Linked DNA regions of Cricetulus griseus. The protein of the gene in region 1 purifies or fractionates together with the protein of each later gene. This does not show direct contact. Links are inferred from orthologs where the notes say so. Each region holds a gene or a part of one and is shown in the gene's direction. Other genes may lie near its edges.

Region 1 (3,945 bases):
GAGCTACATCCACAGGGCCCAACACTGACAAATCTTGAAGAGTGGTTATTCTTCATTAAAACAGTCATATCACATAGCCTGTTATATGAGCATATTAGTTTTTACCAAGTTCTTCCATGCCTGATTGTTTGTATTTCCAATGTTTTCCTATCCTATGATGTGTAGTGGCAGAAATACTCCAGTGTAGGCTTGTGGGATAATGGGATGTAAAATGTTGACAGTGCCTTAGTATTATAGACACAGGTTGGACCTTCCACCTTAAAGGGTGTGTGGAAGGTCAGACCACACTTGGAGCACAACTGTTTTGTGGCACATACCCACATTCTGGAAGATTTCAGTTTTGATACCAGCATGGGCTACTCAGTGCAGCCCTGCCTAAAACCAAAACAATTAAGCACCAAACTCAAAAGAGTTAACAGGTGAGTTGTAGCCAACTGAAAAAGAGCAGCAAGGTTTCACAAGCTTAAGGGTTTTATACAAGATTAACTTTTTTCAGGAAGATGAAAAATTGATACACTGGTTGTTGTCATTATAAAGCGTTTTAAGAATTTAAAAGCATCATAAAGCAGTTCTACCATCAAGTCAACTAAAGCAGAAATGAAGGATTGCGTATCCGGTGAACATGATGCGGAACACGGTAGAAGGCGCAAAGGCCCCTTGACTAAGAAGCAAAATGTGCCGAAGATGCCGCTGCGGTGTCCCGGAGGAAAGAGCTGTGTGGTTCTTAGCCGGGGTGGGAAAAAAAATGGTTTCAGAGAAGAGGAGGAGGAAGAGTTGCAGGAATCACGCCTGGACGCGGAATCCGAGCCGGGATACTGCAAGCCGGCGACCAGGCTGCTGTACCTAACCCAGCGAGCGGGCAAGGAGAACCAGGGTCGCCGCGGTGAGTTTGGGATTTCGACCCCACCGCAGAGGCGAGAGACTGCGCGGTGCGCAACCAGCAGACGACCAAGTCTGGCGGGAAGCCTAGGGCTCCGAGGGGGGTGAGAGGGGGAGAGAAGGACGGCTCTGTTACTAGGCAACACGGGCCGGGCCCGCCTCCTGCTGCCGTTGCTAGGCGACGCCGAGGCCAGGGGGCGGGGGGAGGAGGGCGGCGGAGCGGCCCTACGTGCTGACGCTAATTGTATATGAGCGCGAGCGGCGGGCTCTCGGGTCTCTTTTAGCGCCATCTGCTCGCGGCGCCGCCTCCCGCTCCTCCCGCTCCTCCCGCCGCCGCCGCCGCCGCCCTGAGTCACTGCCTGCGCAGCTCCGGCCGCCCGGCTCCGCGTCTGAGCCTCCTGGAACGGTAACGGCTGGGACCCGGGAGGGCTCGGGGCCTGCGAGGTGTGCGTGCGTGTGAGTCGGGGTGTCCGAGGCCGCGCCGCCTGAAGGGCCCCGGCGGCGCTTGCCGGCTGCGGGGCGCGCGGGACAGCGAGGCCGCGGCGGCGTGGAGGGGGAGCGGGAGGATGAGGAGGCCACGCTGCGGAGCGCATGGGTCGCCCCGGCCACCCGGGCCGCCGCTGCCTCGGTGTCGTCGTCCCCCGTCCCCGAGAGGAGCACCACGAGCAGGCCGCGGGGGTGTGGGGGATGGAAAGAACGGTGGCCGCGAGTTCCGCCCGCGGGGGGAGGAGGGAGGGAGAGAGGGGGCTGCGCAGGCCGCGGCCTCCCGCGCTCAGGAGCCGGGCACGTGGGGACGCGCTGCGGACGGCGGGAGACCCCTCCCGCTCGGGCTTCCCCAAGATTTGAAGACAAGGAAGGTCGGGTTGCGCCGAGGACCAGCCCCGAGGGCTCACGCGCTTCCCTGGAGGAGAATGTGCTAGCGGATGGGAGGATGCCGGTGGCGGGGGGTGGGGACGACGACCAGGGGAGGATGGGGGGGGGCGAGAACAAGCCTGCGCGGCTGGGGTTGTTAAGGGTTAACACGTGCAAAGCATTTAGCGTAGCTTTTTCTTTTTTCTTTTTTTTTTTCTATCTAGAGGTGGTTTTGTGCCTCACAGGTACGGTTAGAACTTCTGGGTACCTTGGCCCCGGGGTCTTATTTGTGTGGAGAGAGAACTTGCTCTGAAGTCTCCTTAAACCTCCGGATGGTTCTAAGATGAAGAGGAGGCTGGCTTGTTGGGTGCGGGGTGGGGGTAGGGGCTCCCATTCTACTAGACCAACAGCGTAGTTTTCCCTTCCAGAACTTCCCAGAATTCTCACTGGGGGTATGAGGTGGAGCAAGGCATTAATATATACTGATACTGGGCAAAACTCAGTGCGCCACATTTATATAGAGATCTCAGGCGTGGCCATGAAGGGAGGGAGGAGACAGGTCCTGTCGGGAGGGCTAGACTTCCAGAATCAAAGGGTGAACCAGGTACGAGCCTGCAAGGACTCCCTATTTCATCTCCTGTCTCCGAGTTCTGAGAAAATAACGTCTTAAAAACTCAAAATACTGACTAACCTGGTTTCAAGAGAGCCAACCTAGAGTTTGCTATATTTTTTGAAAGCAGTTTAGCATCAGAACATCTTTGCAAACTAATATCCAAAGAAATATTTTGGTTTTGTTAGGGGAAAACCTAAAACAGGTAAACGGGATTTTCGGTGGTCTTGGGGAAGTCTTTTTCTCTCAAGCTTGTGTACAGTTGAAGTACACGCCCCATATTTAAACCATACAACTACATTAATTCCAAATCTGGATTTGAAGGATTTAAGTTAGCATTAGCAGGGACTTAGACATCTGTCATAAAATCTTGACTTAACTAATTGTTCTTTTCAAGTCAGCATTTAGATTAATAAAAAGTTAAAGACTCTTCAACATAACGTGATGTCTGTTCGTTTTATCTGTTGCAAAATACCTGTTTTGTTTTAAGTCTTGGGCCCTATAATTGACAATAGTTTAATATTGACATGTCCTTTCATGAGATTAAAAAAAATAACACTCTTGGCCGAACCAATGTGACTAAAATTCTGTAGTTTATTTTATTATTTGTATTGGCCTAAGGTGACCGAAGCCAATACAGGAAGGGGGGTGCTGAAAGAGGTGGGATGCGACTTAAAAAGATCTGAAGGTATCAGAACACATTGCTTATTTTATTGGGTTATAAGTAACTGCTAGACCTCAGGATTTCCACTCTGCCTTTCATTGCTAAAAATGTATTTGGACAATTAACTTGAAAAGTTTTTCATGTTTTTATTTACAGTGGAAAAGGAACTATAATTTCCTTAGAATAAAGAGACTGCTACAGGGGTTAGCTTGGGTTAAGGGCACTGGTTTTTCCAGAGGACCTGGGTTCAATATCCAGCACCTACTTGGTAGCTCACAACAGTCTGTTACTCTGGTCCCAGAGCGTCCAACTTGTATACAAAGGATGTACAGACATAATGTGTAGGCAGAACACCCATTAACATAGAAACAAAGGTTATGAAACAATTAAAGATACTCCATGGGGAACAAATAGGCACAGTGATTACTGTGAGACTCTTTTTTTAAAGACAGGTTCTCTTCTTACATAGCACTTGGCTGTGTAGGGAAGGCGGCTCTTGAACTCAAGAGATCCACCTGCCTCTGCCAGTGAATGCTGAGATTAAAGGCGTGGGGTTGTTTAAATTCCATCATTCCAATCATTCATTCATGTATTTGTTTATTTAATGCTGTCAGGTAGTATTAGCTTTCTCTTTAGAAACATGCCTTAGGTGGTAGTAGTAACTAACTAGTAGTTTAGTATTAGTTAACTAGTACTACTAACATTTTAGCTAGAAAACAGGTCTGGTATGATTAAAAGGCTTACTCAGACTTTTGCAATGATGAGGTTGGGTTCTTGTTTTTTTTTTTTTTTAAGCTTTTATTATGTGTGTATTTTGCTCACATGTATGACTGCACCCTGTGTCTTGCTGGTACCTGTAAAGGTTAGAAGAGGTTGTCAGATCCTAGTGTGAGCTGCCAAGTGGGCTCCTGGTCTCTGCAGGGAAAACAAGTGCAATTGA
Region 2 (3,988 bases), on another chromosome or scaffold:
AGGGGCTGGGCTGGGCTGGGCTGGGCTGTCTGCAGCTCTAGTCCAGGAGGCTGAGACTTCGAGAGGGACTGAGAGCAGGCACACGCATCCCAGACTCGCTAGAGGACAAGGTGAGAGGACAAGACTGGGCTTTCCTGGCGACGAGACAGTGGTTCTAACTCCCGAAACCTACAGCTGGGCAGGTGGACAATTCTTATTTCACTACTGTAGCTGGAGCAGAGGTGCTGCTTTTAATGCGGTGTGGGAAAGAGAACAACCAAGAAAGTAGTAGGCTGTATATGGACTGGACAGCTGAGACTGTCGGAGGTGAAGGAGAGAAAAAGGGGAACTGTGCATGTTGGGAGGAGAAGGAGGAATACGGGGGGGGATGTGGAGGGGGAGACAAGATCCAGAGAGGAGAATAGGGGTATGCAGAGAAGGGTTAAGGAACATTGGGGGGGTTGTGCATAGGTAATACAGAGGAGGATGTAAGGAATGGGAAGAGATTTCTTAGGGTAAATAGGATATGCGATGGGAAATAGGGAGTCCGGAGTCAGGCAGAGGGAATAAGGAGGGGGGGGATAAGGAGTGATGAGGGGGGAAGGGCAGACGGGCTGGGACGGAGGCCCCCAAGGGAGGCGGAAAGGGGCGGGACCACTTCCGGCCTTTAGTGGGGAGGGCAGTATCTTGAGTTTCGGAGGGGCTTGGAGAGAGTGGACGCATTCGGGAATTGTAGGAGGAGGAGGTGAGCCATGGGCCCCAGCTTTGGATGAGAGCCTGCTAGGGGTCGGCCCCACCCTCTGGGATTTGGAGAAAACCTGCCTTAAAAGCCAAATCTTACCGAATCCATCCAGCTAGGAAGGGAGGGGACTGGACCCCGTTTGGCTGGGCCCAAGATGGAATCACTAGTTCAGTCCTGAGTTGAGGAGGGGGTGTTACAGGGAAGGAGCCAAACCAATTTGGGTTTTGCCGTTTGGAGGGGGGCGTGTTAGGATAAAGGGCGGGACTTGGAGGCTCTGTGAAATTGATAGGGTGGATGTGAGTAGGGGAGGGGCTGGGACCACCAGACACTGCGACAATTTGGAAGGAAGGCTTGGTGGGGAGGGGGCGGGGCCGAACAGCATTGCGGACCTAGAAAGGGGCGTGTGTAGGGGCTGGGTGCTGGACTGAGACCGTGGCCATTGCGCATGCGCTTTATGTATAGCTAGAAAGGGGCGTGTAGAGAAGGGCTCGCACGGAGACAGGGCCAGCTGCTGAATGCGCATGTGCACGGTGGACTTCAAAGAACGGGTTTGTACTGGGAAAGCAGGCGGGGTTGAAAGGGCGCTGCAGCATAAGCGCATGCGCATTCCAGGCCTGCGGCTGGGGGGGGTGCGCTGGGAAAAGGGGGCGGGGTCCTTAGAGCTGCCGCGCTGGCACATCTTCCTGGAGGAGGGGAGGGTGCGGCTGCAGAGAACTGAGACCTAAAGACTGAATTTCTGTATCTGAGAACCTACTGGTTGGGGCTCGGGGAGGGGCTGGGCTGTGGGGCCCTAGAAAAGGTGAGGATCAGCTTCTAGGCAGAAGAAGGGATACGACATTCAGCGGGTTCTCCACTTGACCCAGGCCTTCTCTTCAGACTCAGCTTTGTCGGGTGAACTTGAGACATGTCTGAAACAAGTGAGAGTGGTGCAGGTCCAACTCGCTTTCAGGTAAGACCAATTTTTGCCCTCTCTTTCTTACTGCTTTGCCTTTCCAGCCCCCTTTGCTGCTCCAAATCTTTGGAGCTTCTCCTCCCATCCTTGTCATTCTCCACCCACTTCTTTGCCGGGGTGCATCCCCTCTCCCCAGTAGAGGGGAGGCCAGGAGGAAGGGGGAGAGGGTGGGAGGGCCCTTGTACTGTCACTACTTTCTACTAAGGGGAAGGGGAGACCTTTTTATGGGGAGGTGATCAGAGCACACTGCAGGTAGAAGTCTTTACAGGTCAGAGAAGTGGTGCCTCGGAATTTGGGGACCATTTCTATAGTTGAGGGTGGGGAGAAGGTCGGCGAACTTCGCTGCTTCCCCTTGCAGGGCAAAGCTTCAGAAAAGGACAGCGGCTCCATGATGCAGGACCTGTTGCCCGCGACCCAGAACTTGGAGGTCTCAGAGACACCGAAGGCTGAAAAGGCACCAGAGGTCTCAGAGGCTGCAAAGGTCCCCAAAGCCTCTGGGAACCCGAAAGCCACAGAGGTCTCGAAGGCCCCAGAGGATTCTGAGGCAGCTGCCACCCAGCCTTCAACTACCACACAGCTGACTGATACCCAGGTTCTGGCAGCTGAAAACAAGAGCCCAGCAGCTGACACCAAGACGCAGAAGGCTGACCTGCAGGCTATGACAATGCCTGCAACCCAGACCAAAAAGGTCAGCTGTGTTACTGATCCGAAGGTCAGTACAAAGGCCCCTGAGACTGAGGCTGCTGACTCTCAGGCTGGAGCAGATGAACCAGAGCCTGAGGGTGCAGCTGTCCAGGTCCAGGAGAATCAGGATACTCGGCCCAAGGTCAAAGCCAAGAATACCCAAAAGGTAAGACCTCTGCCACAGCTGCCCTTGCTCCTCCACATTCATCATGTCATTTGGTTTGTTTGTTCTGCAAACATTAAAAAATCTCTTGTCCTCATGAAAGACACAGAGGAATGTGTTACAGTTCTTGTATCCACAGAGCTCACAGGCTGGTGGGGAGATATGACAGGAATATACATAGCTGCAATCTGTGATGCACTTTATATTTATGCAGTAGCTGTACACTTATCTGAAAGTAACTCCTATGGTTTCGTTCTGTAGAGAAGGAAAATGATGTCCAGAGAGAGGGCTAGTCCAGGTTGGCATAAGCAGAGTCAGTGGTGGACATAGGAAGAAGAGAATCCCCATGCCGTATTTCTGAGTTGTTCCTGATCCACTCAGGGAGGAAATTCCCAACTGGTACTCAGTGATAAGCCCATGACTCAGGATGGCTAGTGTACAGTGAGGCAGACTATTACGACAAGGTCAGAGTTAGGGGTACATCCAAGAAGAGACAGGGTTAGGGCGTGCTTTCCAGAGGAGACTGAGTTAGGAGAAAGAACCATCTGCTTCACTTGCTGATGTTGGTCCTCTTCTCTGTCGATGCAGGTGAAACACTTGGATGGGGAAGAAGATGGCAACAGTGGCAACAGTGGCAACAGTGGCAACAGTGGCAACAGTGGCAACAGTGGCAACAGTGGCAACAGTGATCAGAGTCAGGCTTCGGAAACCACAGGTGGTCGGAGGGTCTCAAAGGCCCTAATGGCCTCCATGGCCCGCAGAGCTTCAAGGGGACCCATAGCCTTTTGGGCCCGCAGGGCATCAAGGACTCGGTTGGCTGCTTGGGCTCGCAGAGCTTTGCTTTCTCTGAGGTCACCTAGAGCTCGGAGAGGCAAGGCCCGAAGAAGAGCTGCCAAGCTGCAGTCTGCATCCCAAGAACCTGAAGCACCCCCACCTAGAGATGTGGCCCTTTTACAAGGAAGGGTATGAACTTCATCCTGTACATCCCACCTTTTCCACGGCCTTGCCCGACTTTTTAGTCTTTTCACTGTTTCCTTCTCTCTTAGGCAAATGAATTGGTGAAGTACCTGTTGGCTAAAGATCAGACGAAGATTCCCATCAGGCGCTCAGGTAGAGTCCTATAAACAAGTTCCCTCTCCTGAGGTCTGCCTTCTCTCCAGTGTGCTGGGGACATCCTTCCCTCTCCTGTTCCTATCTCTTCTCCCAAAGTTCTCGGAGTAGTGCCATCATTATCAATAAGCCCAAAACCTGATTATGACACCCATGGCATGGACAACAAAGGGTCTGTAGGTTGGACATGAGGGTCACCTGGTATCTCTACAGCCCCAATGTTTACAACACTCTCCTTTTGCAGATATGCTGAAGGACATCATAAAAGAATATACTGATGTATACCCTGAAATCATAGAACGAGCAGGCTATTCCTTGGAGAAGGTGATGGGGCAGCCCTGGGGGATGGGTGCACTGG
Region 3 (2,441 bases), on another chromosome or scaffold:
CACTAAATGATTTACATATAATTAATTTAATATGCATAATAACCAAAAGACAGAAATTTCTTTCAGATTTCATAAGCATAAGACTCTGGCAAGAAAGAAAAACACTTAAATTGGTAACAAATGAATGCTCTAGAAACTACTTAAGAGTTGTGCCCTGCCCTGTATATAAACAAGAAGCCCTAAAGAGGCAGGCAGGAGGAACCCAGAATTTAAGGTCATCATGATCAGAGGTTAGAAGCTAGCCTGGGCTGGCGTAATATGGGTATTTGGGTAAGATATTAAAGTGTCCAATTACCAGAAAACGTCTTCATTATCAGAAAACAAGCATCTGATGTTGATGGTCTTTTCCAATGTTCTCACACGCAAATCACAAGCAGATCCTAAGAGCAGATGGTTAACTGTGAAGTGTTTGGTGACAAATGGTTGTACGTGCATCTGTAGGTGCGGTAGGGCGAGTAGGATCAAACACACGCTTTTCAAGATGTATTAAAAGAATCTCTTCTCCCTGGCTCTTATGGGGATGACTAACCTGCCACCCAGAGGCTGCATGCCTCCCAAGATAACGATGAATGGGCCCCACACATTGGGAGACGATGGCGTCTTTTCACAAAGTCACAAGGCTGGACACTCCGAAGGGTTTTTTTCCTTCGGTTCACCCTTGCTTTATTCCTTTTCATTGGCGCCTGGGTGGACCCTTCGGTAACTACCAGGAAGGTTACGGTGCTGAGATTTCCTACACAAGCACTTCTAGAAGTAATTCCAAAGTACCTCGGGTGATAATTTGCCACCAGAACGTATGTAACTAGGTTTAAGCGAGATGGCTGGCTGTGAGCTCAAGGCGCCCAAGATGGCTTGCGCAGATAATGCGCAGATATGCAGATCTGCAAAGGTGTGGGGGGAAAATGGTTCTCCCGCATTTCTTTTCTCTGGTAGTGAATTTAAGACGCAATCAAGATTCGGAAAGGAAGGTACCCATAGCTAAGACTGCCCAGCATCAGCTATGGCGCACTTCCGAAAAAACAGTTAACAGGTGCATTGCGGATTCAAAGGGCTGAGACGGAAGAGGGGGGCACAAAGCAAACAGCCTGGGGCTGCATAAACAGGTATGGAAAAATACAGGCTCAGCCTCGAGCTGGTTCCAGCCAGCTCTGCAGGGGAGGGGGCGGAAGCTGGGGGCTGGGAGTCTAAGTGGTTTTGAGGACCTCGGAGATAGCAGCATAGCAACAATCTGGTGCAGTATGTGCGCAAAACCATCAGCTGATAGCGGGCAGCCATTCATTTGCCGCGAGCCACGAAGCGGCAGCGCGGACGTCACCACAGCCGTCAGCATTTGCCGCATCTTTAGACTCACTCTGGACCAGCCGCAGTCACAGAAGGAGGACCTCTCTGGACCAGCACAGTCGCAGACTGCGCAATCACCAGACCACTGCGGCAAACCAGCCGAGCCGAGCCGAACGCTAGCCATGGCCGACCCCGAGAAGCAGGGACCCGCTGAGAGCCGTGCCGAAGACGAGGTAATGGAGGGCGCCCAGGGTGGCGAGGATGTGGCAACCGGAGGCGAGGGTGCCGCTGCGCCCGCGGCCGAAGAGCCACAGGCTACCGGGGAGAACGCGCCCAAGCCCAAGAACGAGTTTATCGAGAGCCTGCCCAATTCCGTCAAGTGCCGAGTTCTGGCGCTCAAAAAGCTGCAGAAGCGCTGTGATAAGATCGAGGCCAAATTTGACAAGGAATTCCAGGCTCTGGAGAAGAAGTACAACGACATCTACAAGCCCCTTCTTGCCAAGATCCAGGAGCTCACCGGTGAGATGGAGGGCTGCGCCTGGACCCTGGAGGAAGATGATGATGACGACGAGGAAGAAGACGAGGAGGAGGAGGAGGAGGAAGAAGAGGCTGCGGCCGGCGCCACTGGGGGTCCCGACTCCGCCAAGAAGTGAACGCCAGCAGATGACAGGTGATAAACCCCCTACCCCTTTCATTTCCGATGTCGGCAGACTTTAAAAGGCTCAGGTTTTGCCCAAAATACAATGTGAATCTATTCTGACATTCCTAAATTTAAATTGAATCTAGATTTTGGCTAGCCCGTTTTTAATCTGACTCTTAATTGTGTAAAACAAATACCAAAAGACGTTTTTAAACAAAAAAAGCCTAATTAAGCTTAATTTTTTTTTCTCCCTGCAATTCTGAGAGAACTGGACTTGAGACTGATGTAAGATGGTCAGTTAAATGTGAAGTGCGTCACACGTTGAAATCCATTCATCTCACTACACCCGACCACCCAAGCTAAGACTGAACTTTTCTCAATGCTTAATTCTTCAGTTTCTTTACATTTTCCAGCGAAGAGGAGAAGGAATCCAAGAACGACGTCATCTTTAAGACTTTTGCTTTTGCAAACCCAGACATCAGCTTTACACTCTGGAGGAGACGTGGCATGGAGGAAGCCT

The links. The genes of interacting proteins can lie anywhere in the genome.
Region 2: the proteins of Nap1l1 (region 1) and Maged2 purify together in Homo sapiens (affinity purification with mass spectrometry; 4 studies listed by BioGRID and IntAct, counting the BioPlex papers as one, with this or other methods). This does not show direct contact. The link is inferred for Cricetulus griseus from reciprocal best matches to the Homo sapiens genes NAP1L1 and MAGED2.
Region 3: the proteins of Nap1l1 (region 1) and Nap1l5 purify together in Homo sapiens (affinity purification with mass spectrometry; 3 studies listed by BioGRID and IntAct, counting the BioPlex papers as one, with this or other methods). This does not show direct contact. The link is inferred for Cricetulus griseus from reciprocal best matches to the Homo sapiens genes NAP1L1 and NAP1L5.

Annotation. Positions count from the first base shown.
Region 1 is NW_023276806.1:144,110,489-144,114,433, reverse strand, and holds the start of Nap1l1 (nucleosome assembly protein 1-like 1), read left to right. Parts: upstream 1-1,133; 5' UTR 1,134-1,285; intron 1,286-3,945. UniProt on the Homo sapiens protein: Histone chaperone that plays a role in the nuclear import of H2A-H2B and nucleosome assembly.
Region 2 is NC_048604.1:108,703,692-108,707,679, forward strand, and holds the start of Maged2 (melanoma-associated antigen D2), read left to right. Parts: upstream 1-1,181; 5' UTR 1,182-1,269; intron 1,270-1,371; exon of another isoform or gene 1,372-1,520; intron 1,521-1,597; 5' UTR 1,598-1,625; coding exon 1,626-1,670; intron 1,671-2,031; coding exon 2,032-2,523; intron 2,524-3,108; coding exon 3,109-3,483; intron 3,484-3,566; coding exon 3,567-3,630; intron 3,631-3,874; coding exon 3,875-3,954; intron 3,955-3,988. UniProt on the Homo sapiens protein: Regulates the expression, localization to the plasma membrane and function of the sodium chloride cotransporters SLC12A1 and SLC12A3, two key components of salt reabsorption in the distal renal tubule.
Region 3 is NC_048601.1:83,307,599-83,310,039, forward strand, and holds Nap1l5 (nucleosome assembly protein 1-like 5), read left to right. Parts: upstream 1-1,463; coding exon 1,464-1,934; downstream 1,935-2,441.